Linked DNA regions of Diceros bicornis minor. The protein of the gene in region 3 interacts with the protein of the main gene of each other region in a pairwise test. Links are inferred from orthologs where the notes say so. Each region holds a gene or a part of one and is shown on either strand. Other genes may lie near its edges. The genes, in order: MORN4, SHFL, SSX2IP and TOP3B.

Evidence for each region.
Region 1: the proteins of SSX2IP (region 3) and MORN4 interact in binary tests that used the Homo sapiens proteins (3 or more experiments, as listed by UniProt). The two-hybrid records come from large-scale screens. The link is inferred for Diceros bicornis minor from reciprocal best matches to the Homo sapiens genes SSX2IP and MORN4.
Region 2: the proteins of SSX2IP (region 3) and SHFL interact in binary tests that used the Homo sapiens proteins (3 or more experiments, as listed by UniProt). The two-hybrid records come from large-scale screens. The link is inferred for Diceros bicornis minor from reciprocal best matches to the Homo sapiens genes SSX2IP and SHFL.
Region 4: the proteins of SSX2IP (region 3) and TOP3B interact in binary tests that used the Homo sapiens proteins (3 or more experiments, as listed by UniProt). The two-hybrid records come from large-scale screens. The link is inferred for Diceros bicornis minor from reciprocal best matches to the Homo sapiens genes SSX2IP and TOP3B.

Annotation. Positions count from the first base shown.
Region 1 is NC_080745.1:63,377,924-63,385,051, reverse strand, and holds the start of MORN4 (MORN repeat-containing protein 4), read left to right. Parts: upstream 1-4,107; 5' UTR 4,108-4,245; intron 4,246-7,128. Other genes in the region: PI4K2A (phosphatidylinositol 4-kinase type 2-alpha), read right to left, coding at 1-7. UniProt on the Homo sapiens protein: Plays a role in promoting axonal degeneration following neuronal injury by toxic insult or trauma.
Region 2 is NC_080769.1:9,028,784-9,035,915, forward strand, and holds the start of SHFL (shiftless antiviral inhibitor of ribosomal frameshifting protein), read right to left. Parts: upstream 3,010-7,132; 5' UTR 2,938-3,009; coding exon 2,917-2,937; intron 2,453-2,916; coding exon 2,329-2,452; intron 2,142-2,328; coding exon 2,092-2,141; intron 697-2,091; coding exon 658-696; intron 501-657; coding exon 351-500; intron 1-350.
Region 3 is NC_080743.1:21,177,564-21,184,391, reverse strand, and holds the start of SSX2IP (afadin- and alpha-actinin-binding protein), read left to right. Parts: upstream 1-3,823; 5' UTR 3,824-3,906; intron 3,907-3,960; exon of another isoform or gene 3,961-4,138; intron 4,139-6,828. UniProt on the Homo sapiens protein: Belongs to an adhesion system, which plays a role in the organization of homotypic, interneuronal and heterotypic cell-cell adherens junctions (AJs).
Region 4 is NC_080774.1:30,422,601-30,429,849, reverse strand, and holds the start of TOP3B (DNA topoisomerase 3-beta-1), read left to right. Parts: upstream 1-4,226; 5' UTR 4,227-4,347; intron 4,348-5,130; exon of another isoform or gene 5,131-5,310; intron 5,311-7,249. UniProt on the Homo sapiens protein: Releases the supercoiling and torsional tension of DNA introduced during the DNA replication and transcription by transiently cleaving and rejoining one strand of the DNA duplex.

The DNA.
Region 1 (7,128 bases), on a different chromosome or scaffold from region 3:
CGTCCATCCCTCAGGCCGCGGGCTCCGGGACCCGGGGCACCCCGCACAGCTGAGCTCGCGGCCGGGACCAATCCGCGACGCCCCCAGCCCCCGCCTGGCCAACCAGGTCGCGGCGCCGTTTTGGCCCCGCCCCTACCGCTCATGTTTACTTGGCGACGAGTAGGCACGACCCCTTGAGCGCGAACGGCAGCCAATCGGAACTAGCGCCTACGCAATAGCGCCCTCCGCATTTTTCGCCCGTCACCTTCTGTGAAGACTGCGCATGCTCTAGGAGCCAAACCCGGGTCAGACACGCCCTCTGCTTTTACCAGCCCCGCCCCGCCCTTAGCTTCCAATTGCTGACGGGTGTTCGGGAGCCTTCAGTAAAGTAGCCTACTTAATCAGTCATTCCTTTATTGAGTGCCTACTATGACCCAGCTGTGGGACTGGAGAAATCTAATCTTTGTATCTGCATTCATTCAATCAGGCACTCATTCATTAAATATTTATTGAGCACCTACTACGTTCTAAGTGCTGGGGAGACAGAAGTGAAGCAAAGAAATAAAATCCATGCTGTTAAAAAACAAAATTCGACTGAGTAAATTTGAAAGATCGTATTGGCTTTATTCAGTGACTCATGAATGGGGCAGCATCCCATCTAGCAGACAGAAAGGAGCTCTGAGGAGCTGTACAAAATGGAAGGCTTTTAAAGGCAGAAGGGAGCCAGACAAGGAAGTTATACTAGCAAAGAGTGGGTTGGTTGTGGCCAAGTCACCTTCCTTTAGGGATGGCAGGGGTCTATCAGGCAGATTACCTCACTAGTGCTGACCAGGTAATTCCAGACTGACTGGGTTAAGATTCCAGTCAGTTAAGTATTAAGTCTCTGCTTCATGACATGGGGCTTAGCATAACTGACTCCATTTGGGGCCTGTTGTCTTGTTTTTAACACTAACTAAATAAAAAAGTTTTAAAAAACTCCAGCCCTGGTGCAACTTACACAGTGCCTGGCCCAATGCTTATTTGTTAATTGAAGAACGATATGGTCCCATTAGACTAAAAATACCAAGAGGTAAGAGTCCATGATTGTTTTATTCATCACTGTGAAACCTCAGTGTCTAGACACAGTAGGTGCTCAATACATTTTTATTAGCAGCAAAGAGAAGGAAGATATAGTTCCTGCCCTCAAGCTGAAGACACACAGCTCTGTGAGGCAGTAGGAGAAAAAGAGCCAACAATGAGAGCTGAAACCTCCACAAGAGGAGTTTAGTAATTTGGGGGTAGGCCGGAAAGTCAGCAAAGGCCTTAAGTGGGGCATGTGCTATGAGCTAAGTCTTAAAGGAAGAATATAATTAGATCACTGGGGAAAAAGGGGGAGAAAAGAGGGAATCAGAGACATTTAAGTTTGAACCCCGCTCCACACTTATTGTTTTGTATGAGTTAACTCTCTAAGCTTCAGTTTCATCATCTATAAAATGGAAATAATCATCACTTCCTCAATGGATTAAATAAGAATTTAATACATTAAATTCTACATTTACTACATACATTATGTATGTAGAGCACTTAGCATAGCCCTTAGTACATAAAAAGCGTTCAACAAATGGTAGCTTTTTATCACTGCTGAGCTTTTGATTGATACTGGTTTTGCTTTTGTGCTTAAAGTAACCAGCAGACTAAAGGCGTGAGTTTTCACAAAAGATGACCAGCCACATAGTAACCAATATTTCATAATCAGTCTTTCTTGAATCAAATGATTGCCACAGCTAACTAGAAGTACTAAATTGAAAGAACTATTGTTTAATTCTATGTATGGGAACGTCTTAAACTTTTTTTGCCAGGTAAACCATTCTAGACAAAGATCATATAGATGGTTCAATTTCCCCTTTTAGTTACAAGACGTGTATTTCCCCTTCCTATCCAGCATCAAATAATTAAGTAATATTTGCTTCTTGTGTCCCAGGGGCCATAGCCACCGACATGATCTCTTGGTATTATTCATCTCATTTACTCCCTAAGCTTCAAATCATGGTGAAGGAAAGCCCCAAGATTTAGAGTTCTCTCTTGAATTCTGAGTTTTCTGTATGGAAAACCCTCAGAACTTATTTCTGTATCTCCCTCTTGGAACTTGGTTTTCCTTTTACTGAAAAAAAGAGTGTCAATGCATTCCCTGTTACCTATGAAAAGCTAGCCCTTACCAAATGCTAAGCATGTGTCAGGCGTTGTTTTAAGTGCATTACATAGAGTAAGTCATGTAACCAGCATTACAGCCCCTATGACGTTGGAAGCTGAGTAAAGTAACTTGCCTATGGTCATGCAGCTGGTAAGTGGCAGAGCTGGATCCAAACCCAGGCAGACTAGCTCCATGCTTTTAACACTATATTGCTTCTTATTAAATATCTCTGTGAAATGTGTCTCATCTTTACCCCCTTTCTTTCCATCTTCACTGATGCCACATTAGTTTTGAGACTCTCAGAATGTCTTAGCTACATGATTACAATAGTTTCTGAGTTTGTTTCTCTGCTTCCAATATCTCTCTGATTATCTCTGGGTATCACTGCCAGATTAATTTTCTTAAAACACTAATTTCATTGTGTCACTGCTCTGATCAAGAAACTACATTTTTTATTGTGGTAAAATATACATAATATTTATCATTTTAACCATTCATAAGTGTACAATTCAGTAACATTAAATACATTCACAATCTTGTGTAACCATCACCACTATCTATACCCAAAACTTTTTCATCATCCCAACAAAAACTCTGTACCCATTAAACAGTAACTCCCTCTTCCCCTAGCTCCTAGTAACCTGTATTCTACTTTCTGTCTATTAATTTGCCTATTCAAGAAATTAGATTTTGCAAACCATATCTTCTCCCTAATTTTTCAGGTTTTTCCATAATTTGACCACAATCTATGTAACATTACTTCTTCGTATTTTTAAATACACATTCTCCAATCTTATAAGATTTGTTTTCTGGATATTCCATTCTCTCAACTACTGCAATTATATCTATAGTCAATACCACAGAGTTTAGCGTGTTTAACCTTTGAGTGTTAGAGCTAGATTGAATCTTATAGGTCTCCTAGTCCAATCTCATTTTACAAGCTAAAGTGCTTAATAACTTGCTTGAAGCCACACACAGTTGGTGGCAGACACGGGATTTGAACACCGAATCAAAGTCTTTTAAAACAATTTAAAACTACCATTTATTGATAGTTTCAGACACAGTACCAAGCATCTTACGTTGTATTCTCAGACAAGTCCTGAGGAGACTTTATCATCATCATTATTATTATCATCATCATTTCTATCCTACAGATGAGGAAATCCTAATTTAGAGAAGCAATTTGCTTACTCTCTTCACGCACTTGCCTTCTCTTACTAATGAAATATAGTCTTGGATTTTTCCATGTGCATGAATCTTTTCTTCTCCACATTTAGGCAGTAAGTCCCATGAGGGCAGTGATCATGTCTTTTCCAGCCTGGCAGAACCTAGCATCGTACTGCATTCACACTGTTCAGTAAATAAACATATGGATAAACGGATTGGTGTGCATGGTATTTGGGAGGATTTTCTCCAATCTTGGCACTGTATTGTAACTACAAAGGATCTGGGTAATGACAACTACAAGACAAATCCTTACAATGGATGCAAAAGTGTCCTCATATCACAGAGCTGGCACGGGGTGACACTCATTAAACTGCAGTTGCCCCGTCCAGTGTATTACAACGTACAAAGCTGCACCTCAAAAGCCAGGTTCCGGTTCTGTCCTTAAACTCCGCGGTGGTACCGTTTACAGCTGTGGAGACGGGGCAGGATCGGAGCCGCCCGAGGTGGTCACTGTTGCGTCTGACGCAGGTTTGGCTTGGTTTTGTTTGGGGTTGACATTTCGGCTAGCCTGTCTCTGGGTAGGCGACAGCTGAGTTCTCTCTGTCCGGGCGGCGGAGGTGGGGTTCAGCCCCACCCCTCTGTCGGACGTTTGGCCCCGTCTCTCAACACACTCCGCCCCGCACAAAGATGGCGCAGAGCCCGGGCTGGGCCAATGGGGAGTGGCGTTGCTCCCGGTTGCCTAGGTAACAGCCAATAGGCAGCGGGAATTGTGCCCAGTGCGGCTGCCCGGGATGGCGGCGTCAAGCGGAGCAGGCGCTGGTGGAGGTGGCCGAGAGGCAGGTGGCAGGGGCGAGACCGACGGAGCGGAGGTCTGGGCGGCTGGAGCCCCGCGTCGGGGCGTGACGGTCACCCTGAAAGGCCAAGCCCAGGTTGGCTGGCAGCGCGGATGGGAGTGGGCCGGGAGCGTGTGGTCGGATGAAGAAGGGACTGAGGAGCCCAGCCCGAGATGACGGGCTGGGGAGCGCGGCTCCATCCTGGACGCGCTGACCGGAGGGCGGCTGCCCCAGGGGTCGCAAACCCGGGCCTCTCGTCCCCACCGCGGGGGTTGAGGCCCGGGAGAGCCCACGGTACTTGGGTTAGCGAGCGGGGTGGGTGGGGCTGCGTCAGGAGGGGATGGCAGACCTGTGTGAGCAGAAGACCCGGTAGAGGGGAGGAGCGGTGCTGGAAGGCAAGAACCGGGTGGGAGAAGGAATGGGGAGTCGACAGGGAAGTGTTGCCTTGTTGCGTCTAGGGCTTTGTTTGCTCTGGGCCCGGCTCTCTCACACTGTGGTGGAGAGACGTCCCACACGCACATCGAGGCTTGGGGAATGGAATGCCTCAATTATTGATGGTGGCATCCCTGCAGTCTAGCATCAGCAAACTGCTTGGGTACCAGCAGGAGTAAGTCAGCTACGTTAGAACCGGCCAAGGCATTTTCCTTTGCCGTGAAATAGAATAGCATCCTGGCAGTTCCCATCACCTCCAAGTCTTTTTTTCTCTTTCTTCTTTCCTTCTCTTTCTTCCTTCTCTTCCTTCCTTCCATCTTTCCTTCCTTCCTCCCTTCCTTCCTTCCTTCCTCCCTTCTTTTTTCTTTCTTCTTTTTTTACAATCTTTCTGGTGTCAGGATTTCCTTCCCACTTTCTTCAATCTAACCATCTCACAGTCTTCCTAAATAAGACGTTTATCTAGTAGCAATACGTTTGTTTACTTTTAGAGTGGAAGGAAGTAGTAAAAGAGACTTATAGACTTATAATACAGTTGTTTCAAGCTCATTTAAAACCCCTGAAAAAGAACATTTGACTTTTTGTTCTAGATTCCTTACAAGCCTAATCTTGGTTCATCAAAGCCTTCACTTTCTTCTCTTTAGGATTGAAAATCATAAGAACTGCTTTCTTTATAACTGAACAACTTTGACAAGACTGTCATACCCTAGGGAGGGTGGCTTTAGGGGGACAATGTGAAGATGTATATGGATAAAGGTGGCTGCCTCTAAACAATATTCTGTTGAAAACCTATTCTCCTTTATGTTAGTTTTTTTCAAAAACCCTCTGAATTTGGACACAGGTTACTGTGAATGCATGAATATTTCTTAACTAGTTTGATTTCTGAAATTAAAAAAAAGACAAATGGAACAGAAACAAAAGTTCTCATTCCTGTCTCCGAGTTCTACTTGGAAATGTCTGGGGCAGGAAAAAATAAGAAGCAGGGATGTAGTCTGTTGTGCAGACTAATAGTATATTGGTTTACAGGGACAAAATCATCATTTTCTTTTAGATAAACATTTGGATTAATTCTTAGCAACCCGTCTATCAAGAGAGTTGGAAGCGTGGGTATCTGTTTAGAAGCGTGAATCATCTTGGTATTGTAACTAGATTCCATATGTATATCTGAAGCCTAAACTCCTAGGCTATCTCTTCTCTTTAAAACGATTTTTTGAATAACTGATACAAATACTGATTTGCATCCCTTATTAAAGTATTGGGTTTTTCAGTCTTCATCAGTTGTGGCGATACTTTATTGAATTAGATTTGTCTCAGTGACCGTGGTTACTGGTGAAGTTCCTTTTTGGGTCAGTGGCTATGCAGCTGACTATTAATTAGCGTGGCTAACTACAGAAGTCATATGAAAATCCTGACACTGTCCCAGGCAGTGACAGTATCAGTTATTTGGACACATGTAAAAGTTTCTAGTCAAATGTGTTAAACCATGGCCTGAGACCCATGGAGTCTATGTGTGTTCCCTTTAATTAGCAGTTCTGATTGTGTTCTTGGGAATGGACAGCATTTTGACAAGCAACTGTTGAAGGAAGTTTGCTGTGTCTCCCTGGATCAAAAAGGAATGGAAATTTATAGCATGTACTTTTTAAAACAAATGGGAGAGGATGTTCCAGTTACTATTGCTGTGTGACAAATAGCCCCAAACTTAGTTGCTTAAAACAATCATATGATGCTCACAGATTCTGTGAGTCAGGAATTTGGACAGGGCATCATGGGAATGACCTCTCTCTGCTCTATGATACCGCAGATGGGATGCGGGCTCAATGCCTGGGGGCTGCAATCATCTGAGGGCTCCTTTGCCTGGGCTAGGATGATTCAGTGATGAGGAATGCCAACTGGAGCACCAACAAACATGGCTCAGCTTCCTCGCAGCATGGTAGCCTCAGGGTAGTCTGGTTTCTCATGTGGTGGCTCAGGTCTCCAAGCACAAGCCTACCAGGGAGCAAGAGGGAAGTTGCCTCACTTTTTATAATCCAACCTCACAACATACCATTGCTTCCGTTGTGTTCTATTGGTCAAAGCAATCACAAGCCTGCCCAGATTCAAAGGAGAGGTGTGAGACTCTACCTTTTGAAGGGGCAATTGCAATGTCAGATTCTTTGGAAAATGCTATTTGCCACATTTGGTAATAAGATAATCTTTCAAGTTTCATTGACTTCTTTGAAATATTTAGAGTATATTCCCCAAGAGCTAACATCATACCAAAAGAGTAGCTAGGTTCACAATTTGAGGGCTGGCTAGTACTTTGTCCATAGATAATCCTCAGACTGGACAAACACTCTTCCCTTCCTTCAGGGACCGTCTTTTGGTCCCTCTGAAACAAGATGGGATGCCACTATTTGGAAGTTTCAAGTAGCCTTGAGAAAAAGTAAACAGATACAAGAGGCTGCTCCCCGTGAGCCTCTGTGTAGTCAGTCTGACTCCTCAAATTGCAATAACTCCTTCCAAAGCTTTGAGTGAGGATGTTAGTTAACTGCTGTCACACATTTAAAGGAA
Region 2 (7,132 bases), on a different chromosome or scaffold from region 3:
GTGGACACTGTTGCCTGATATTGGCCACAGTGGGAATATTTACACCATGGAAATTGGCAAACGCTACACATCTGGGGTACCAGCTGGTTGTTGAGCATTCACCAGAAGCACACCACTGGCCAGGGGGCTCAGAAGCCAGATTTGGGGTTGAGGTTTGATTTCTGGGGTAGCTGTCAAACTGTGGGCTCAGGGGTCAGGCTCTGGGGTCCGAGACGACGTTGCGCTCTGAGCCTGGAGGTCAGGGGTTGGGCTCTCAGGGGCTGGTGTTCTCAGGTCAGGGGTTCAAACACTGAGGATGGGAGTCGGGAGTGGAGTTGGGGCAGAATCAAGGTCAAGGGTTGGGTCATCACCTCCTTCCGCTGGGGCACGCGGCGCCACCACACGTGGTCACAGGAGGAGCAGGCGAACTGGCGGTCCACGGCGGGGATGAGGTCTTCCTGGGCGCGCTGGAACATGCGTAGGTTGGCTTCTGTCAGCGGCAGGAGGGAGGTCGCCACCGCCTGCAGAATTGGGGGGGGGACCAGAGGGTGGTCTTTCACCAACATACACCTGTGTCGGCCCTCCCTTCCCTACAGACACGCCCCCTCCTGCTCCTGTGACATCCCCCCCCCCATGGCCTCCCCGGTCCACCTCCCCTGTCCCACACCCTGGACTCACCTGGATGTCCTGGTCCTGCTTCATGTCCTCTGGGGGGTCCTGGGTGGAGACACCATGGGCACAAACTGGGGATGTGGCTCAGGTCTCTTGTCATCTTTGTTGGGGGCGGGGCTCCTGGACGGGGGCGGGGGGGGGGGGGCAGGGTCTTGGCGGCGTAACAGTGAGGTGTTCCTAACTCACGAGGAGCTGGTTGAGCAGCACCCCCATATTGAGAGCCAGGTGCATGACCTCAGTTATCCTACAGCAGCCCTGAGAGATGGGCACACCTGTTCTCCTCATTGCTCAGATGGGGAAACTGAGGCCCGGAGCTGGGAGAGGGATTGCCTCAGATCCCCGAGTGAGCTGGGCAGAACAGGCCCAGACCCCCTTCCTGCCGGCGAACGCCACACACTCGTTGGCATTGTGACCGGCCGCCCCTCTGAGCCCATGCCGCCTGAGGCTAAGGCTCGGGCTCCGGCTTCAGACAGCGGCGGTTCCAATCCTGGCTTCATCATTTCCAGCTGTGGGGGCCAAGCCACTCCCCCTGGGTCCCTACGGAGGGGCATCCGGGGCCCAGGCTCAAACCCTAGGTGGCTGCGGTTCAAATCCCAGCTGCCGCCTGCGTGCTGTGTGAGCCTGGCGAGTGACTTCGTCACTCTGTGCCTCAGTTTCCTCATCTGTAAAACGGACACGATAAATAACAGGACCTGTCTCATGGGGTCGCTGTGGCGATGAAATCAATCAACAGGTAAAATTCCTGGCGTCCTGCCTCAAGGGAAGCGCTCAATCGATGCTACTCTTGGCTATTATACTCTTTATGCATAAATATAAATAGTACAATACTTTATGATACTATGTAACAACTCTGTGCTGGGCCTTTCAGGCAGAAATCCACATCCACCAGCCACCAAAGCCATTAAGGGGCAAAGTGGTCATGTTGCACCTGTGCCTCAAAGCCTTTCATTCATTCATTCATTCATTCATTCATTCATTCAACACATGGGCTTCTCTGCCCGTCTCTCCTCCTCCATCTCCTGCTCATCCCAGCCTGTTCGTGTGTTTCTTTGTTCAAGCCATTCCCTCTTCCAGGAAGACCCTTCCCGACCCCTCCCCTTCTCAAGGATCACTCCTGCCAGCCTTGAAGAGCCGGCACCACCTCCTTCAGGAAGCCTTCCCTGACTTCTACGACTCTTCTATGATGACATTAATCCTGATTCGTTTCACTGCCTCGTTTCACGTGTCTCTTCCTCATTTAATACAATCAACATGTAATGAGCGCCTACTGTTTGCAGGCTCCCTGGCCAGACACACGACTGAGAGGTGAATAAGTGGATGAGGTTAGACCACAAGTTGTGGACTGGTTGCGGCACAGAGGGGGCCACCACGGAGGGGCCGGGTCCCCTCTGTTCTTCCTCCCCCCGTCAGCCCGTCCTTTGAGGGGAGGGGGCATTTTACCTGGGTATCCAGGTCATTACTCAGTTCCTGTCCGTCTCTCTGCTTTACCCCTGGTGGGGAGAGTAAGTGTAGGTGAAGGGCCCTGGCGGGATCCTGTGGGAGTTTCAGGGCCCCCAGAGCCCCAATACAGACCCTCCCCAGAGATGATCTCATTGCTTCCTCCTACCATCAGCACAGACCACACTCCCTCCCCCACGTGGAAGTCCCCCTGCCCCAGGCCGGGACCCGCGCGCTCACCGTACACGATGGAGCGCCCCACTCCGGTGTGGTCGCTGCCAAATTTCCTCATCAGAGTCCCCGCCTTCCTGGAGGACACCTTCCCGTGAAACTTCTCCCGGAGGCGCCGGACGCTCTTCTCCAGCTGGGGTGTGGACAGGGGGGCTCCGATGGGGCAAGGAGAGGAGCGGCAGCCCCTCTGCCATCTCTAGGCATCCTTTTCCCGGCCTGAACTTGACCCTTGCTTTTGGCGTCCGCCCCCGCCCCCCTCCATCCCTCTACGGCATTTCCTGGAAAAAGCCAAAGTCTCCACAGGCCATTGCGGGAGGGAGTGGACTGGGGCGCGCGTCCCAGACTAAGGGAGGAGGCCGGCCAGGTAACCCCTGACTTCTGACCCTTAACCCTGCAGCCCCCGCTTTTCCTCGAGGAGGCCGCATTTCGCTCCGGGGGATGTGGCGGTCCCTCTCCTTTCCGATGGGGGCCAGCGCCAGCCCGCAGGAAGATCTGGGCTTCGGATGGAGTGCCCAGGAACTGCGAAGCCCTCTCGGCGCCCCGGCCCCTCCCCGGCGCCTCTCGCGGGCCCCCGGCCCAGCCGTAGCCGTGTCCTACCTCCACACCTTCCTGAGACATGGTGGCAGCGGCGCAGGTCCCCGCGAGGGTCCGCGCTGCGCGCTCAGCGGCCCGCTACCTGGGCGCGCCCGCCGGTCCAGCGGCCGCGCAGGGCAGGGGGCGGGGCCTCCGCCGGCTCCGCCCTTCCCTCCCGGCCCCTCTTTCGCTTTCGATTCCTGGGGGGCGACCGGGCGCGCTGGCTCCGCCCCGGCTCCGCCTCTGCTCTTGCGCCCCAAACCCAGGCGGGCGCCGGGGTCTGCACCCTGCGGCGGAGCGCGCAGACCTCGGGCGGGGGAGGCGGCGCGGCCTCTGCAGTCGGTCACATGTCCCCACGCTGCGCGGGGTCCGCGTCTTCACGTCCCTCCTGGGGGCGGGGCCGCATCGGAAGGCCGCGGCGAGGCTCCGGGCCCCCCAGGCTCGCGCTCCCCACGTTCATCGCCTTCTCCCCTCCCTTCCCCCCAGGACGCAGGCGCTGATGAGAACCTGGGCGCCTTCCTCACTCTGGATCTCTTACCCGGCCACGTCCCCTCCCTGAACCTTAGTTTACTCCTCCGTAAAATGGGGATGATGAGAGCGGCTACATCCTGGGGGGGGGGGGGTGTGTGCGCGCGCGCCAGGATTCGAGACCCCGGGTGGAGCACTTAGGAGCGCCTGGCATGCAGTAGGCACTCAACTAGTCTCTGGGCCGCCTACTATGTGCCAGTCCGAAGGGACAGGCAGTAGGGGGAAGGGGGAGGTGCTTGTTAAAAGTACCGATTCCTGGTCCCTAGCAGTCCTGCAGAATGCGGCTTCTCCGGCTTCCTGGGGATCTGCATTGCAAACCCGAAGGTTGAGAACCCCGTGGGCCAGGACGATTCTAACCCAGCACGGGAGCTGGAGGACAGAGCTAGGGGGCACTCTGGCCCAGCCTGAGGGCGTCAGCGATGGCTTCTTGGAGGAAATCCGAGGTCTTGGCTAGGTGAAGAACGGAGTGGAGGGAAGGAAACAGCACGTGCAGACCCCTCAGAATCAAGAAAGAGTCTGGCGCTTTAGGCCGGGACTTCTCAACCTGGCCTCTGTTGACATTTTGGGCTGGATAGTTCCTTGTGGTGGGGGCTGCCCGGGCCACTGTAGGGTGTGTAGCAGCATCCTTGGCCTCCACCTTCTAGATGCCAGTGGCACCCCTCCCCCAGTCGTGACAACTGAAAATGTCCCCAGACATTGCCAAATGTCCCCTGGGGGGCAAAATCGCATTAGGATAAATAACTCCAAAAATGTTGGAGCCCCACCCCCAGATGGATATTTATTTATAAATTACATACAAATACAGTTATACCAATAGATTCTGTAGATTGTTTTATAATAATATATTTCTTACATAATGATACTCCTTAGCACACACAAAAATGAAGGTTAAAAAGTATAGATGTGCTAATGTTTTCTACTAGAACCCCAAAGCTTTGTTTGTGGGGTCTATGCACCCCTCTCTGGAGCCCCCTCTATTAGCGCATGTGAAGAGTTCATGGTTCTTTGTGGCTGAAAGGTCGAATTTCAGGCAGGCACGGGGCCTGCAGGCTGCGCAGAGGCCCTGGGGTTTTATCCTGAGGGAAGTGAGGAGGCATGAAGGGGTTCCCTCATTATAGTTGTCAAATACTGCTTACCCAGTGGAGGCAGAGGTCACAGCTATGTCCCATCCCCTGGCCATGGTGGGCATCAAACAGATGAGAGGCCGATCTAGCCCTGACATGAATCAGATCTGCTAGATTCTCATAATAATGGCCACCATATGGAGTGCTTCCTCTGTGCCAGGCACTGTTCCGGGCATTGCAGACACAGCATCGAACAAAAAGATCCCTGCCCTTGTAGAGCTGGCATTCAAGTGGGTGAGACAGACAAGAAACAAATATATAATAGGACAGGAGATAATAAGTTCTAGGATGAAAAATAAACCGGAGTAGGGGGATGGATAAAGGGAGGGGGGTCAGGGAAGGCTGTAGGAAGTAACATGTGAGAGGAGACCTGAAGGGGGTGGAGGAAGAGAATTCCAGGCAGAGCAAACAGCAAGTGCAAAGGTCCTGAGGTAGGAGCAAGGGACTGTTGTCACCAGTTGTAGTAGTTCTCCCTTGCTGCCTAACACATTATCCCAAAACTTAGTGGCTTAAAACAATAAACGCTTGTTATCTCATAGTTTTTGCGGATCAGGAATCCAGGAGTGGCTTTGCTGGGCTGTCTTGGCTCAGAGTCTCCCTGCCTCAATTCTTCCCTACTCGGCTGCTCGAGTACATCCTCCCAACTTGGCAGTGGGCCTCCGCACAGCACGTGATCCAAGACAAGGAAAGCCAGGTGGAAGTCGTATCTTTTTATGACCCAGCCAAGGAAGTCACCCAGCGTCACTTCTGCCACCACATCCAGTATGTTAAAATCTAGTCAGTAGATCCAGCCCACGTTTAGGGAGAGAGAAGTAAAGACCCCGCTCCCCCCCCCCCCCGCCCCCTGTCCTCCCATCTCCTGCTGAAGCCTCATTGGCTGCACCAGAAGCCAAGGAGGGTAGGGGCACCGGTCATGCTGTCAGCCTCTCAGGGCACAGAGCAGGGGCAGAAGGGTGACAGTCTATCCAGAAGGACAAACAGACGATACAAGCCAAGTATTGAATTTTGGCATTTGTAGATAAACAGAAAAACAAACATTCCCAGCGACCAAAGGGGGACGCTGCCTGCCCACGGATGTACTGTTGACGTTTTGTGGCCACCTTGGCCTGGCCAGATGTGGCTTGTTTGTGCAGTGGGGTGAGCGTGACTGCATTTTATCCTTTGTCTTTATAAAAAGGTGTAGAGAGGGAGAAAATAGATGTGCAGGTAACAGTGATAAGAAGTGTAGACTTGGGCCGGCCCCGTGGCTTAGCGGTTAAGTGCGTGCGCTCCGCTACTGGAGGCCCGGGTTCGGATCCCGGGCGCGCACCGACGCACCGCTTCTCCAGCCGTGCTGAGGCGGCGTCCCACATACAGCAACTAGAAGGATGTGCAGCTGTGACATACAACTATCTACTGGGGCTTTGGGGGGGCAAAAAAAAGGAGGAGGATTGGCAATAGATGTTAGCTCAGAGCCGGTCTTCCTCAGCAAAAAGAGGAGGATTAGCACGGATGTTAGCTCAGGGCTGATCTTCCTCACACACACACAAAAAGAAGTGTAGCCTTTGACACTTTAGTATAATCGAGTCAAAGATGGAGCCCATTTGCTTCATCCATTTAGAGGCATCAAGTGCCTCCTTGGTGGCAAGTGTGGTGCTGGGCACCGTTTCTGCCCTTCTGGAGCTCATGGTCTTTTTTATTTTTATTTTATTTTATTTTATTTTTTGTGAGGAAGATCAGCCCTGTGCTGATATCTGCCAATCCTCCTCTTTTTGCTGAGGAAGACTGGCCCTGGGCTAACATCCGTGCCCATCTTCCTCCACTTTATATGGGACGCCTCCACAGCATGGCCTGACAAGTGGTGCATCGGTGCGCGCCCGGGATCCGAACTGGAGAATCCCGGGCCGGAGCAGCGGAACACACGCACTTAACCGCTCGCGCCGTGGGGCCCGCCCCCAGAGCTCATGGTCTTAATGAGAAAGAGACACATGAAGCAGATAATATCGCAAGTAATTATTTAACTACAAAAAAGAGAAATGGAGAGATCGGTGAGAAAGGACAACACGTGGGAACCTGACCTGGGCAGCGTAGTCAGGCGGGGCTTCCTGGAGGAGGTACCTCTTGAGCTGAAATCCTAACACTTTCTGAAACACTGTGCCAAGTGTTTGAAGCTGTGTATCTCAATTGATCCTCACAGCCACTCTACAAAGGGGGTAATATTATTACAAATGGGAAAACAGGTTCAAGAACCCGCTCAAGGTCCCTCCAAAGGGTGAATAGGAGTTACCTAGTTGAAGAGGTGCAGGGTAGAGGGAACAGCATGTGCAAAGGCCCTGAGGTGGGGAGGGGTTTTGTCCATGGTAGGAAGCTAAAGGCCAGCATGGCTGGGGTTTAGCAAGCAGAGGGTGAATGGAGGGAGTTGAAGCTTGTGCTCAAAGCAGCAAAATCTTGACCTTCAGCTGGACCCGTTGAGGCTTAAGCTGCGTAAGCATATATTTAATTGTGGAGGAAGTAGACACAATTGGAGCGTGTGTGTGCTTTTCGCAATCTAGTCAATTTCCCCCTCAGTTAACCAAAGGGAGAAATTTGGGAATGCCCAGAGGTGCGGG
Region 3 (6,828 bases):
TAGTGGTGCACATTTTTAGAACTCCTTTTTGAAATTATGTTCAGAGTCAGTTTACTGTCTTAGAAAATCACACACATCTTGTTTTTTGACCTTTCCCTATCCACCCAAATGCAGTAACTTAGTTGGAAAACACAGCTTTGGCATTTTAACATGGCTCCAGAATGTGTTCATCAGATTTGGCTCTGAATAACTTTTGTACTGTTCCAAAAATCAGATTTATTATCAAAGAAAGAATTCTTTTCAACAAATTCAGTGCCTACTGGTGTGATACCTTTTGAGCAGCATCATTTGAATATGCATACAGCCTGCCAAAGTGACTACTTTGAAATGACATTCATGTGAAGTTATGTTCATTTATTCACTAACTAATTATTGAGCACTAACCACTAAATCCCAGGCACTGTGTTAGGCACTGGGGACACATCAGTGAACAAGCAGACAAAATCTCTGTTCCTGCTGGCTTACATTCTAGCAAAGGGAGAAGGACCAAACAAACAAACAAAATGAGTAAACTCTATATTATGGTTAAAGATTATATAAAAGCAAGGTAAGAGAGATTTGGAAAGCTGGAGGGGGTTCCAATTTTAAACACATGTAATGTTGTCAGGTTGGGCCTCACAAAGAAGATGACTGGGTAGACTTGAAAGAGGAGAGATAAGTAATATAGATGTTAAGGGGAAGAACATTCAAACAGAGGGAATAGCTAGTGCAAATGCCCTGAGGCAGGAATGTGCCTAGCAAGGTTGAAGAACAATGAGGTGGCTAGTAGTTGAGTAAGGGAGAGAGTTGTAGTACATGAGGTAAGGAGATAGAGGGCAAGTCATAAGAACTTTGCAGCCATGGAAAGAATTTTGGCTTTAACATTGAGTGAGGGGAGCCAAAGCAGAGAAGTGGCATGATCTGAATTGTATTTTAAAAGAATTACTTTGACCACTGTGATAAAACTAGACTATAGAGGAACAAGGGTGGAAATTTTGATGCATTCTGGAAGACAACACCACTTGATAGTCACATCCCCTTAATTTTGCTTAAAGAAGCAAAAGCAGGCAAAGCAAAGCATTTAAAAGAAAAATTCCAGATTACATCTTTACCCTTTATCTTTCCTTACCATAGTTCTATCAAGCCCAATTCCTCTAGCCCTGGGCTAAAAGTGTCCTTAGACTATTTTTAGGCTGCAGCCAAATTCTTTACCTGTCCTGTATATCAGTCAGGATCTCCTTAGCTGCCAGTAACTGAACACCTGACCCACAATGGCTTAAGCAATCAGTCATTTGCGCTCTCCCACCTGAGCAGTCTGGAGGTATGCAAAGCCAGGGTAGGGTAATTTAGCCATTCAGTGACGTCTGGGTTCCGGATTGCCTTTCCCGTATTGCTTTTCCCGCTTTCCTCTCATTGATGCAGGATGTGCCACCACAGCTCCAAACATGTCTTGCTCCCTGGAGGATGGCCAAGGCGAGAAGTAAGGAAAAGACTTCTTATGGGCTCTCAGGGACAAAACCCTCCCCCTGAAATCCCCTACCCTCTACTTCCCAATATGTACTCACCAGTATTAGGTTACAAGCTCAGCTCCTAAACCAGTCATTGACAAGGGGGACACAGTACCAAGACAGGTGCAGACCAGTGGTTCTCAAAGTGTAATCTGAGGAAGCCTGGGAGGGGGATCCCCAAGACCCTTTCAGGGAGTCTGCAAAGTCAAAACTATTTTATTATAATATTAAAATGTTATTTGCCTTTTTTACTCCCATTCTCTTATGTTTTCCAAAGGCTACCTGAAATAGTGCAACACATTGAATGCAGCAGATATGAAAACCAAATTGCCTTTCATTAAGCCACACATTAAAGACAATTGCAAATTTTTAAAGTAATACCACTCTTTCTACCTTTTTTTGGAACATATTTTCCATAAAAATGTGCTATTTATGTTGACAATTTTTATTCTTTATTATTTTTTTAAATAACAAATATTTTTAAATTTCTCAGTTTTAATTTCTAGTATGGTAAATGTCAACAGAAATAACCCACATAAACAAAAGCTCTTTGGGGCCCTCAATAATTTTGGGGAGTGGAAAGAGGGTCCCCAGAGCAAAAGATTGAAAACTGCTGGTTTATTCAGACAGATGTGATTCACCCTTGGAGCTGGGGGCGGGGCCGAACTCTCCGGAGCTCACTTCAGCCCGACCCAAACCTTCTTCAAATCAGACTGTTAGCGTTAGATCGCAACAGGGTGTGCCAGACGCTGCTTACTGAATTGACTGATCTCAACTCTTCTAGCTAATCGGAGAGCGAGCTCTCCCTTTTTGACTGTGAGGAGGTGAAATGGTCAAAAAAAAAAGAAGCCTTAAGTGTTCTTTCAAAGAAAAACTCATGTTAAGTTGCTTCTTAAGATGGAAAGGGGTGTGGGATATTTGCTATGAAATTTCAAAGGCCCTCTCGGGAGCTGGGGTAACCCCCTCCCCCCATCAGCAGTCTGGGTTAGGGAGAAAAGTAATCATTGCAATAATTGGTTTCTTCCTCCCTACCAGCCCTGCACTAATAGCGTCCTTATAATGATGGGCCCTAACGGCTTGTTTGGCTGTCATTCACCTATGCTTGACGGCGTCTGGCCGGCCTCCTAATCGCTTAGGCCAAAGGCAATGAGGAGGATTTCGTTGGACTCCGAAGTTGTCACCATGGCGGGCTCATTTTCTCTCCTTGCTCTTTCATCCAGGACTGGGGATACGTGCGTGTAAATCGGGAAGGGAGCACTCCTTCCTCTCTCGCTCTTCAGAGTTAATATTTCTCATTCTCATCTCATACTATTTTAGTTTCATAGTGCTCTCAGGAGCCTCCTTAAGATACTAAACCTGTTTTTCCCCTCTTGAGTAACTCTCTTGGCTTCACTTAAAAAAAAAATCCATCAAAGTACATCTTTGTGTTTATAACTCAACTCATATGCCTGCCATTTCTCCATCTGATCTCTTTCCTTCCTCCGGCCTCTTTTCTTCCCTGGAGAATTTCAGGCTGACATGGAGCAGGGGAGGAGCCGGCCTGACCCTGGCCACGGGTGCAGGCTTACCGTTTCTTTGCACATATTTTGCTGGGTGGGTGTAGGGCATTTTTGCATAAACCTCTGGTTCACGAGTGCCATTTCTTAGTCTTCCCGCTGTCTGCTGCCCAGGTCCGTTTCTTTCCCCTAATTTAACAGGTAACTTTCTCCCGGTTGGGTTGTTTGCCTCCACGATTCCCGACACCTGAACCTCCCTTCCCCTGGGCCTGACCTAATTCTGGGTGCCGGCTGCTATTTGGTTTATTTCTCCACTTTTCCAAGTGCACTTGGCTCTTCTAGGCGCTTCCCTTTTGCTCCTATGGGTGGGCACTGGGGTTCACCGCGGCTCGGAACACGTGCTTTAAAGCAGCCACGACCCCCTTCCCCCACGGAGCCCTGGGCCCCGAGCTGGGCAGGCTGAGGAGGGGGCGGGGAGCAGGCCCCGGCCGGGTGAATCACAGGGCGTAACAGGTGCCGCAGCCGCAGCTGCGCCCGCATCCCGCTCGGGCTCTGGGGATAAGGTTTTCTTTTTCTCTGGGCTTTTTTGGAGGCGAGGAGGAGGCTCCGGGCCCCCACCGGACCAATGCAGGCCGCGGTTGTTCATCGCCTAGCAACTGGCCGAGCCAATGGGAGGCGGCCGGGCCGGCGGCGCCGGCGGGCGGGGGCGGGGTGGGAACCTAGCGAACCTGCCGCTGCGGGGAGGCGGCGGCGAGGGGCGGAGCGGAGCCCGGCGCGGGGCGGCGAAGGCGGGCGCCGGAGGCGGAGGCGGGGCCGGCGGCCCGGGGCGCTGTGTGCCGGCGCTCCTGTGCGGGCCCTCGGGGCTGCGCTAGCGGGGCTAGGAGCTGAGCGGTGCCTCCCCGCCGCTCGCGGGGGCCGTGACGGTGAGAGCCTCGGCCCGCGGCGGGGATTGTGACGCGCCCGCCCGGGGAGGGGCGACGGCGCCGGGGGTGCCGAGGGCAGGCGGCCGGGGGGCGGGAGAGCGGGCGCGGAGGTGCGCGCCGGCACCTGGCTCGGCGCCCCGCTTCGCTGCCGGAAGCTCGGCGTGGCCGTTGGGGCGGTTGGAGGAGGCGGGCGAGCGTTGACCCCGGTCCCGCCCGGAGGAGGAGGGGGGAGGTAGGTGTCAGCTCGGGGACCGCTCCTGCCCGCCGTCGCAGCGCTGCGCCCACGGCAGGGCTCTCGCCCGGGGAGCCCCAAACCCTTCCGGGGATGGAGAGAGGGTGGCGCCTGGCGTGGGATGACGAGCAACGCGGGGACGTGGAGGGGGAGGAGGGGATGGCGGATTTGGGGCTGCGGTGCCTCTTTAGCAGAGGCTGCGGGCATGCGGGCTTCGGGGTTTGTTAGCGCGAGCCGCAGGAGGCAGTCGTTAGAATGAGTTCCCGGGTGGCCCGTGGCCGCTGCAGGGGAAGAGGACCCTGATAGTGGTCTAGTAACGAGTCTAGGGCAAGAACTTACCCCATCCAAGAGGCAGGCGTGTGTGAGGATATTTTGGTGCAGAATGTTATAATCAAGTACGGTAAACCGAAGTGTGAGCTCTCTGCCGGCTTTTGAGCCTATGCTGATCGCCCAGTTATACAAGTCACTTGGGTCCAGGAAATGGAATCTGCTAAATAATTTCAGCATGTGTATGGAATCTGCTAAATAATCTCAGCATGTGTAATATGGGAATCTTTAGCTTATTACTCCATTTCAAGGTCCATAGTTATGATTGCCAAATTGTCATTACTTGCAGCGCTGATAAAGTTCTTGATGAATCTGAGAGAATTGAGATTTCCCTTTTCTGGGCCCCATAAATGGATGAGGATTAGAACAGTCACTCCTCCGAGGGTGATTCAGAAGTGTAAGAGAAGGGCCTCCTGGACTTAGAAATTGCTGGGCTCCCCTAACAATTCAGCTTAGAGTCTAGGTCTCGAGTTGGCTGTGAGTGATGGGTGCCTTGGAACCCTTTATGCCTCAGGAGGGATTGGTTTACTGTTCAGGTAGAAGAACATTCTGGCAGCCTTGATCCTAAACTGGAAAGGTAGATATGACTTGACACGTTTAGGTGACTGAATAGAATTTGAAAAGACTTAGAGATCTGGAGAGAGAAAAAATGCCCTAGAGTTGAAGTCTAACTCAAGCTGTCTTGAAATTTAGAAGAAGTTAGAGGTAGATTTATGAATTTGGATTCAGTCAGCAAAACAGTCCGTCAGATCTCCTATCCTAGAGCTGTCATAACCTACACGCCTAGGAAGCTTAGGTTATTCATTCAGATTTAACAAGTAAAAGCTAATAACTAATTTGACACGGTTCTGCCTGCTGTCAATGAAATTTTCTCAAACAAAATGGTTTTTTGAAAAGAGGATTAGGAACTGATAGTTCAAATGAAGGCTCTTTGAGTGACTTGCTGGGCCTCTTGAGCTAAGTCATTTTACACCCTTCTTCCCTTCTCTTTCCCCATCTGTACAATGAAGATAATAAAGCCCCAGGATTAAGTAACAAGGGAAGCAGCTTGAAGATAAGTGCAAAGACTTAGTTATTCTAGGATGAAATGTGAAGATTTCCTCATAACACATTGCGCCTGTGACGAGACTTGTTAAAGCACATTGCGTTCCAAGCACGCTGAGGCCGTATATGAGAAAATGAAAATGTTAACTGTTCCGATGATTTGCCAAAGGTCTCAAGGCGAGCACAAAGTCAGAGTATGTTCTTGGAGTCTCCAAAAACTTGACATAGCTGATCTTTGACAAGCTGGCAATGACACAGGTTTTGATAAAAGCAGACAGATGAGTGCCTTCTATGGAGTATGCACTTAGAGATGAAATGATACTGAATGATGAGAAAGACACTGCCCCAGAATTGTGTGATTTTAATTCATTTCACATGCTTAAATTGGTGCAATTTCAAAGCTTTTTAAGTGATAGTTTTCCATGTGTTTTATAATAGTTGTGAATATGCCTTATTGGTCTGACTGTTTGCTCAGGACACAAGGGATTTTGATACTCTGTCTTTGCTGATGCTGATCATGATTAATTGGCAATGACGGTACAAGTTATCTTGAATTCACAAGTTTATGGGATGGGATAGAATAGAGAAGCGCACCATTCATTGTTGGTAATGGAAAACAACCTAAAATCTTTACTTTTGAGAGTGAGTCAGTATTGTATGGTACCAGCAGAGTATTGAATTATGCTTTAATAATTTATTTTTTCAATAAACATTTATTACACACTAAGCTGCTACTTGTCAGACCTGAGGATTAAAAAGATGAATCTTGCCTTGAGTTTTTTTAGGAAACTTACGGTGTAGTCAGGGAGAGAGCAAAAATAGAAAATAAAAATTGCAAATAAGAGAAGGCTTTAGAAAAGAGAATTTCAGCTGTGTCTTGACAGAGGAGAAGGAGTTTACCTGATGAACACATATTAGCATGTTCTGCAGCAGTATACCATTGGGGAAGTACAGGTGGTTTGGTTGGTGGAGCCAGGTGGCCTGGGTTAGTGATAAGGTTGGTGAACAGGGCTATGACCTTTGACCAGTAGGTGAAAGGGAACCTTTAAAAGGTTTTATCCAGCAGAATTACATTTGATTTTTACTTGAGAAGGGTATTTCCACTCAAATCAGTAAGTTGGGTGATCTGAAAGTGTTCTTAACATAGACCATCCAAATAATAGCAGAGAGACAACAACCCTACACAGCAATTAAAGACTTGAAAAATATTTTATTGAAGCCCCCAGAGACCTTACAAGAGCAGAAATGATTATTCATGCAACAAACCTTTATGGAGTATTTTCTACTTTTAGGATTAGAGGAATAGGGATACAGAGAGA
Region 4 (7,249 bases), on a different chromosome or scaffold from region 3:
GAGATGAGCCAGCCCCCAGTCCCTCCCATTCCGCACCCCCTCCTCCAGCTTCCCTCCTCTGCGCTGTGCCCACCTTCCCCTCATTCTGCCTGGGAGATGGTCCCGTGAAGGTGGCCTGGGCAGGGGCTGGAAGACAGCTGCGGGCCCCTGAGAGCACTGAGCATCAGGGAGCCAGGAGCTCATGTCCCAGTTGCAACACCCTCTGCATCTCTCAGGGACATGCCCAGACCGCCCCCTGCTGCTTCTGAGAAGACATTACAGGCGCTGCCCACTGACTCCAGCATGAACGCATGCTATACACACACACACACACACACACACACACACACACACACACACACAGGGCACCCGGCAAATTCAACTCTTAACAGAAGAGCTTAGAAGGGAGTACTGACTGGCAGGGCAACAAGAAGACCTTCTGGAGTGCGGGAAATATTCCTTGTCTTGATCAGGGTGGTGGTAGCATGGGTGTTTACCGGTGAATGGATCATCAAGCATACGTTCATGACAACAGCACTTTACTGTCTATAAGTTTTACACCAACTTTTTTTAGTCCATGGGATTGTGCATGAGATGTCAAGAAAAGACTTGCACTTTTGGTTCAGTTTTCTGATCATCTGGGGGAGCCTTAGTTTGCAAGTTGCTGTCATGTATGATTCCTGATTTAAGAAAAACAAAGGCTGAGAAACTAGAAGAACGACAATGTCTTGGTTGTAGAGAAATAAACTCTGAGTTCCATTAAGGAGCCTGCAGCCTAAGGAACTAACTTTCCCTACTTGTGGGGAGTCTAGGCCAGGCCAGTGGACAGCAGCGGAAGCCAGAGAGTGAGGCAAGAGCTGAGGTTTGTTTCTTTCAAGCACCACTTATCAAAAGGATTTTCCTTTCTCCTGTTGAATTGCCTCACTGCCTCTGTCAAAAATCAATTGACACACACATGCTTGTCCCAGACTGGGAGCTCTGTCACACGCGTCATTGGTCTCTGTCTGTCTCCTTCCGCCAGCACCATGCTGGCTGATGACTGTCTTACAGGAAGGAGTGAGATCAGGCCATGTAAGTCTCCCAACCTTGTTCCTCTCTTTCAAGCATATAAAATAAATAAACAGACAAAACAAATTTGAGAAACAGTTACAAGTTTAGAAGATAGGCCAAAAAAAAAAAATCCGACACATATATAATAGGAGCTTCTGAAAAGGAAAAACAAGAGAATAGTCTCAAGTCAAGTACAGACACAGATTCAAGAAAACTTTCCTGACATTAGAAAAAAATTGTTTGAAACCATATATTCAGAGGGAAACTGTGAACCTGAGAAAACTGATCACAATGACCGACACCAAGATGCGTTCTAGTAAAATTACTAAACTTAAAAGAAAAAGAAATATACTTTGGGCATCCAGGCAAAAAAAAAAAAAACAAATCACTCACAAGAGAAAGAAAATAAGACTACCAGACTTTTTGAGAGCAACACTTTATACCAGAAGAAATTGGAGTGACATATTTAAGATACTCAAGGAAAGAAAATGTGAGCCAAGGATTTTAGGTCCAGCCAAACTCACTTCCAAGTATAAGGAGCATACCATAGTCAGCCACAAAGGCAGAGATGCACAAGGAGCTGACGTAAATTAGAAGTAAGTACAAGAAACACAAAAATGCCTGAATTGATTTACAAAACATCATAGTGAGAAAAAAGAATAAAATTTACCGGCCGGCCCCGTGGCTTAGTGGTTAAGTGCGTGTGCTCCGCTGCTGGTGGCCCAGGTTCGGATCCCGGGCGCGCACCGATGTACCGCTTCTCCGGCCGTGCTGAGGCCGCGTCCCACATACAGCAACTAGAAGGATGTGCAGCTATGATATACAACTATCTAGTGGGGCTTTGGGGGGGGGGGAAGAATAAAATTTACCCAGCAGACAATGTCATCAGTGTGCTACAGGAGTCGGGAGGTTTGAGTCTCACTCCCCCTGGGGTCTGGAGCTCAGAACCATGCAGGCTCACCTGTGGTGTCATAGGAGTGACAGTAATAACTAGCCTTGTCTTCCACCTGGAGTCCGGCGATGGTTGGGAAGGCTGTGTTGCCCAACTTGCAGCCAAAGAACCAAGTTGAGATCCCTAAGGGCCGATTGTTGTTCTTGTAGATGAAGACTTTGGGGACCTGGCACATGCTGGTACCAGTTTGGGGCATATCCCCTGATGTTGCTGCTGCTTCCTGTGTAGCGTACTGTGACCATGTCTCCCGGGGAACCCCAGCACAGAGGCCAGCTGAGTCAGCACAGACTGGGCCCTGGAGTCTGGAAAGATAGAGAACGAGAAGGAGTGAGAAGCCCTGTGGCAAGTGGGTGAGAACTTGACTTCTGGAACCTGGCTGCCTAGTCGTGAAACCTGGCGCTGCCATTTACATCTGTGTGACCTGTTTCCTTATGTGTAAAATAAGGATAATAACAATAATACCTAATTCCTAGTGTCATGAGAATTAAATGTATTCATAATAGAAAAGTGCCTAGAACAGAGTAAGCGCTGGGTGGGTGTTAACTATTTACAGTGTTAGCAAGACCATGGCCCAGCCTATGCCCCACCAGAGAGAAGAGACCCAGGAGCTCTCAGGTGTCCCATCCACCACAACTAGGCGCCTGTGCATAAGTGAGGAGAGTGTAGGGGTTCCTCCCAACGGTGAGGAAGTCAAAGCGTTCCTCTGAATCTGGGTCATTTGTCAACATAAGTGTCCCCGGAATGGCCTGCCCCACAGCTCCCTGGGAGGTCTGTGGGGAGGACTCCCCAAGGGGCTCTCCAGGCAGCAGGGGAGCACAAGCAGCTGCAGTTTCCCAGCTCCGCGGAGAATACTCAGACAAGCAGGCTTCCAGAGCTGACCATTCAGCTCCCCTGCCAGGCCCAGGCCTCAGGTCCTCCTTCCTACTCTGTGGAATGAACCCCAGAGCTGGATTAAACAAGCAGTGGGGCTCTGGTCTTGCCTCTCTGCCAACTGGACATACTCTTCAGATCCAACCTTAGTCCTGGCTGCTGTCCGCCGGGGCCTGTGTGGAGAGCAGCCTGTAGGGCTCAGGGTGGGACCAGGAGGGAGATGGGACTTGGGTCAGTGTGGTGGCAGCTGAGGCCAGAAGGATTGATTGGATCTCAAATATGATTTGAAGACAGTGATGGATACCAAGTGAGAGAAAGAGAGGAATCCTGGAAGCCTTCAAGGCATTGGGCCTGAGCAGCCAGGAAGGTGAAGTTGCCGTCTTAGCAATGGAGAACCTGCCAAGGAGTGGGCTGGGAATCAGGAGTTCTGCTTTGAAAGGGAAATCTCACTGTAACTTAATTTTCTGCATTTCCCAACCTTAATTTGACCATAGAACTTTTCTTTTTCCAGACATCTGTCAGGGCTAGTATTCCAATAAAGACAAGTTGGGAACAGCATCTACAGGGAGCAAAGGAAACGTTTGTACGCTGTTATTTAAAAGATATTAAAATCAGGTCATGAAAATTATTTTTAACTTTCCATAATCTTAATGCTCTAACACAAAAAAGATTACTTTTATTTTCCAATTCATCTTCCAGATATATTTTACAGTTTATTTATTCATCCACAAATGTTTGTAGCATTGAAAGAAGCCTGCTCTACAAACATCTGTGGTTTGTTTTTCGGTTTTTTATTGTGGTAACATTGGTTTATAACATTATATAAATTTCAGGGGTACATTATATTGCGACTTCTGTATGGACTACATCGTGTTCATCACCAAAAGTCTAGTTTCCATGCGTCACCATACGTGTGTGCCCCTTGACACACACACACACACACACACACACACACACCTGTAACCACCAGTCTGCTCTCTGTTTATGCGTTTGTCTGTTGTGGTGGTGGTTGTTGTTGTTTTATCTTCCACATAGGAGGGAAATCATGCATATTTGGCTTTCTCCATCTGACTTATTTCACTTAGCATAATGCCCTCAAGGTCCAACCGTGTTGTCGCAAATGGCACGATTTCATCTTTTTTACGGCTGAGTAGTAATATACACACATCTGTAGTTTTTAATTATTTTAATTATTAACAGCATACACGTTTCCATGCTTATCATCTAGTTTTCATCATCATTGTAATGATGATTGTCATTATTGCCTCCGGGGCGGGGAAGAATGGGGTGGAGGGATTAGGGATCTCGGCAGATGCGGTGGGCAAGGGCCAACTCGGGGCGTGCTCCCGGAACGCGACAGCCACGGAACCCGCGGACGCAGGTGTGCGGGCACCGGCGGGGAAACGCGGGGACGCCAGCAGCGGCCCGACCCGGAAGTAGAGTTGCCGGCGGCCGCCGCGAGCGGAGCTGAAGCCGGAGCCGGGGTGGGGCTGCGGGTGAGCGGCGGGCGGCGGGCTCAGGGATGTGGGGAGCGCGGGCGTTTTCCACGCACCGGGGGCCGCCAGCCCCGCGGCTTGGGCGAGGGTCCTGGGCCGGGCTCTTTGCATTCTCGCCTCTTCCCCGGCGGGGTGGACCCCCCCGAACCCCGGGACTGGTTTGGGGGTTCAAGGAGGTGGCGATGGGCCGGCACCTGGAGGGAGCAGGCGCTGCAGTTAATACTTTTCTTCATCGAACCTCCCGCAGTTATTGAGAGGGGTCTGTTGCCCGGATTTGTTGTCACGGGTGGGGAAACTGAGGCTCAGGGAGGCGGTCGGTCCACGCAGGTCAAGGCAGGGTCCACGCCGCCCCGGAGCCCTGGCTCGGCCTCGAGGGCGCCCGGGCGTGTTTCTCTGAGTTGTTGATGTGGGTGAGAGGGTACTTTTGTGAACAGACGAGCGAGAATCCAGGGGCAGTCATTTCTCAGAGGTGAAAAGAAAGATGATGGCCTCGTCCTGCCTATTTGTCGCTCAGCCGTTGGGAACAGGAGGTGAAAATTCAGCCCAACCAGGGCTTGATGGCCCGTGAGCCCCGGGGGGGTCCCTAGAGACTTGGCAGAGGTCACCTGACACTAGTCTGAATTGTTCTAAACCTCAGTTTACTCCTAGTTGAAGAAATGAGGACACCGCCAGCCCTGTGGGCTTGTTGGCAGGATTCAGTAGAGTAGCGTTTAGAGCTATAGCGCTACAGACGACCTTAATTAAGAAGGTGTGGTTTCTTCCCCTCTTTTCCTGACTCCATAGGTGTCTGGTCAAGTTCTGAGGTGGGAAATCCTAGGGCTGTAACTTCTGTCGGCCCACTGCCAGGCCTGCACTCCGGAGCTGAGTCCACATGTTCATGAGGGCTGACTTGAAAGGACTTGATCTGCAGTGGCTCCCAGAAGGACTCCTACCGTTGTGGTTTTGCTGGTGAGAGTTGACAGGGTAATAACAGGCTTACCTGCTGCTCCCTTTCACTTTCAGCCCTCCTAATTACAGTCCCAATTTAGGGTGTTTGCTGTCAACATCCCCTTAGCACTTGCTAATCTCCCTTTTTGAAGTAAGAGGACAGATGTCAGGCTCAGCACTTTGGCAGGCAGCAAGATCAAACTTGATGTGTCATGTGGGTTACCGGAAGGAACCGAGTTCTGGCCATTGATTACAGGCTTTCAGTTCCTATGAGGCTATAAAATTTCCCTTTTCTATATATTTAAGCTTTTTTAAAAAGCAAAAACGGAAGTAAATAATAATGTTGGTAAGGCAAAGCAGTAAGATGGTGTATAAATGTTCTCACACCATTGCTTTCAGCTTTCCTGCTCATTGGCTTCCATTTTGAAATTGCAGATGTGCCTTAATGGAAAAATAGGGAGGCCTCAAGATTAATCACAGTTACGACTGCAGAAATCTTTTAAGAAGTAGAACCTGGTGCAGTTAAAAACAGTGTGCCTGGCTGGACGTAAGGAAGCATGAGTTTCAGCCCCAACTCAGCAAACTTCCTAGGTTACCTTTGGAAAATCCCTTTCTCTGAGTCTTAGTTTGTTCTTCCTTGAGATGGTTGTACCGGATCATCACCAAGATCCCTTTCCCAGGACTCCCTGATTCTGTATCCTTAAAGGAAGTGGTATTTATTTTCCTAATAAAACAGTGATACTTAGAAATTACAAAGTACTCATGCAGAACTGAAGTATAAACTGTTGAACTAGAAGGTGTGTTTTGCCACATATCAAATGTGGACTAGCCGCTGCACAGCCTGGCAGTGGACAGGTGATCTGAAGCTGGGCATGATGCTGACGTGCTTTTGTGTGCACTGTCCAGTTGTATCCCTAGTCCTAGATAAATGAGGTAATCCCTTTGAAGATGCTAGGGCAAAATGTTTCTCTGGAAAGGGATCTTGAGACAAGAATCTGTTGAGCTCCTTCTTGGAAGTGGGAGTGCGGGGATGTGAGGTATTGCCCGGTGGCGCCTGTAGAGCTTGCTCTGGGTGAACTTGCGGCACCCACGTTTGAGTTCCCTGTCCCTACACCGTCATTCGCACGTGTGCTAGACATGGGTCTTTGCTGGGGAGAGAAACTCAAGACCGCTCGAGCTCTAGCTTGCTTTGATGAGTATTGTTGGAATTATTTCCTATTACAGAGGGCTAATTTCCTTATTATATAAACCACTCCAAAAATAAGATAACAACCATCAAGTTGACAAAAATGGGTAAAAATATGAATAGACAGTTCACAGAAAAGGAAGCCAAATGCTTTTAAACGTGAAGTGTGCCTCTGAATGTTGAGGGACTTAGGTGTTTGTCTTTTTCATACTAAAGTTCATATTTTCTAGTTTCATTTTTTTATTTAAATCTTTGCTAGAAATTGGAATCTGTTTTGGTGGAAGTTATAAAATAGGTGTCTGACTTTGTTTTTCTTACCATAAGGTTGCCCGGTTGTCTCAATACAAGTCTTTTTCTTATACAGTGCTATGTTTGTCAATGTCGGTGCCATACTTACAACAATCAGAAAGACAGAAAGGGTTCATATGTTTCTTTCACTCAGCCAGCGGGTATTAAATGTCCTCTGTCAAGCTCGAAACCAGCTGTTGAATTGCCAACAGTGATTCAGACATCAGGCCACTCGTGTGCAGCAGGAAGAAGAGGCAGTGACCAACCGTGGCATGATGGGCAGAGGGTTGTAAGGAACGGCCAGGAGGAAAGGATTCATCCCGCCGGCGGGTGTAGAGAGAGCTCTTTGAAGAAGAGTTAGCACTTGAGCTGGGCCTTCGGACAGTTGATCTGCATTCTCCAGGCTTGGCAAAACATTCCAAGCAAAGGGAACAGAGGCTTGAAAATGTGTTTTTTCTTTAGACGCTGCTGTCCAATTTAATTGGCCAGAGCATGGCTTGC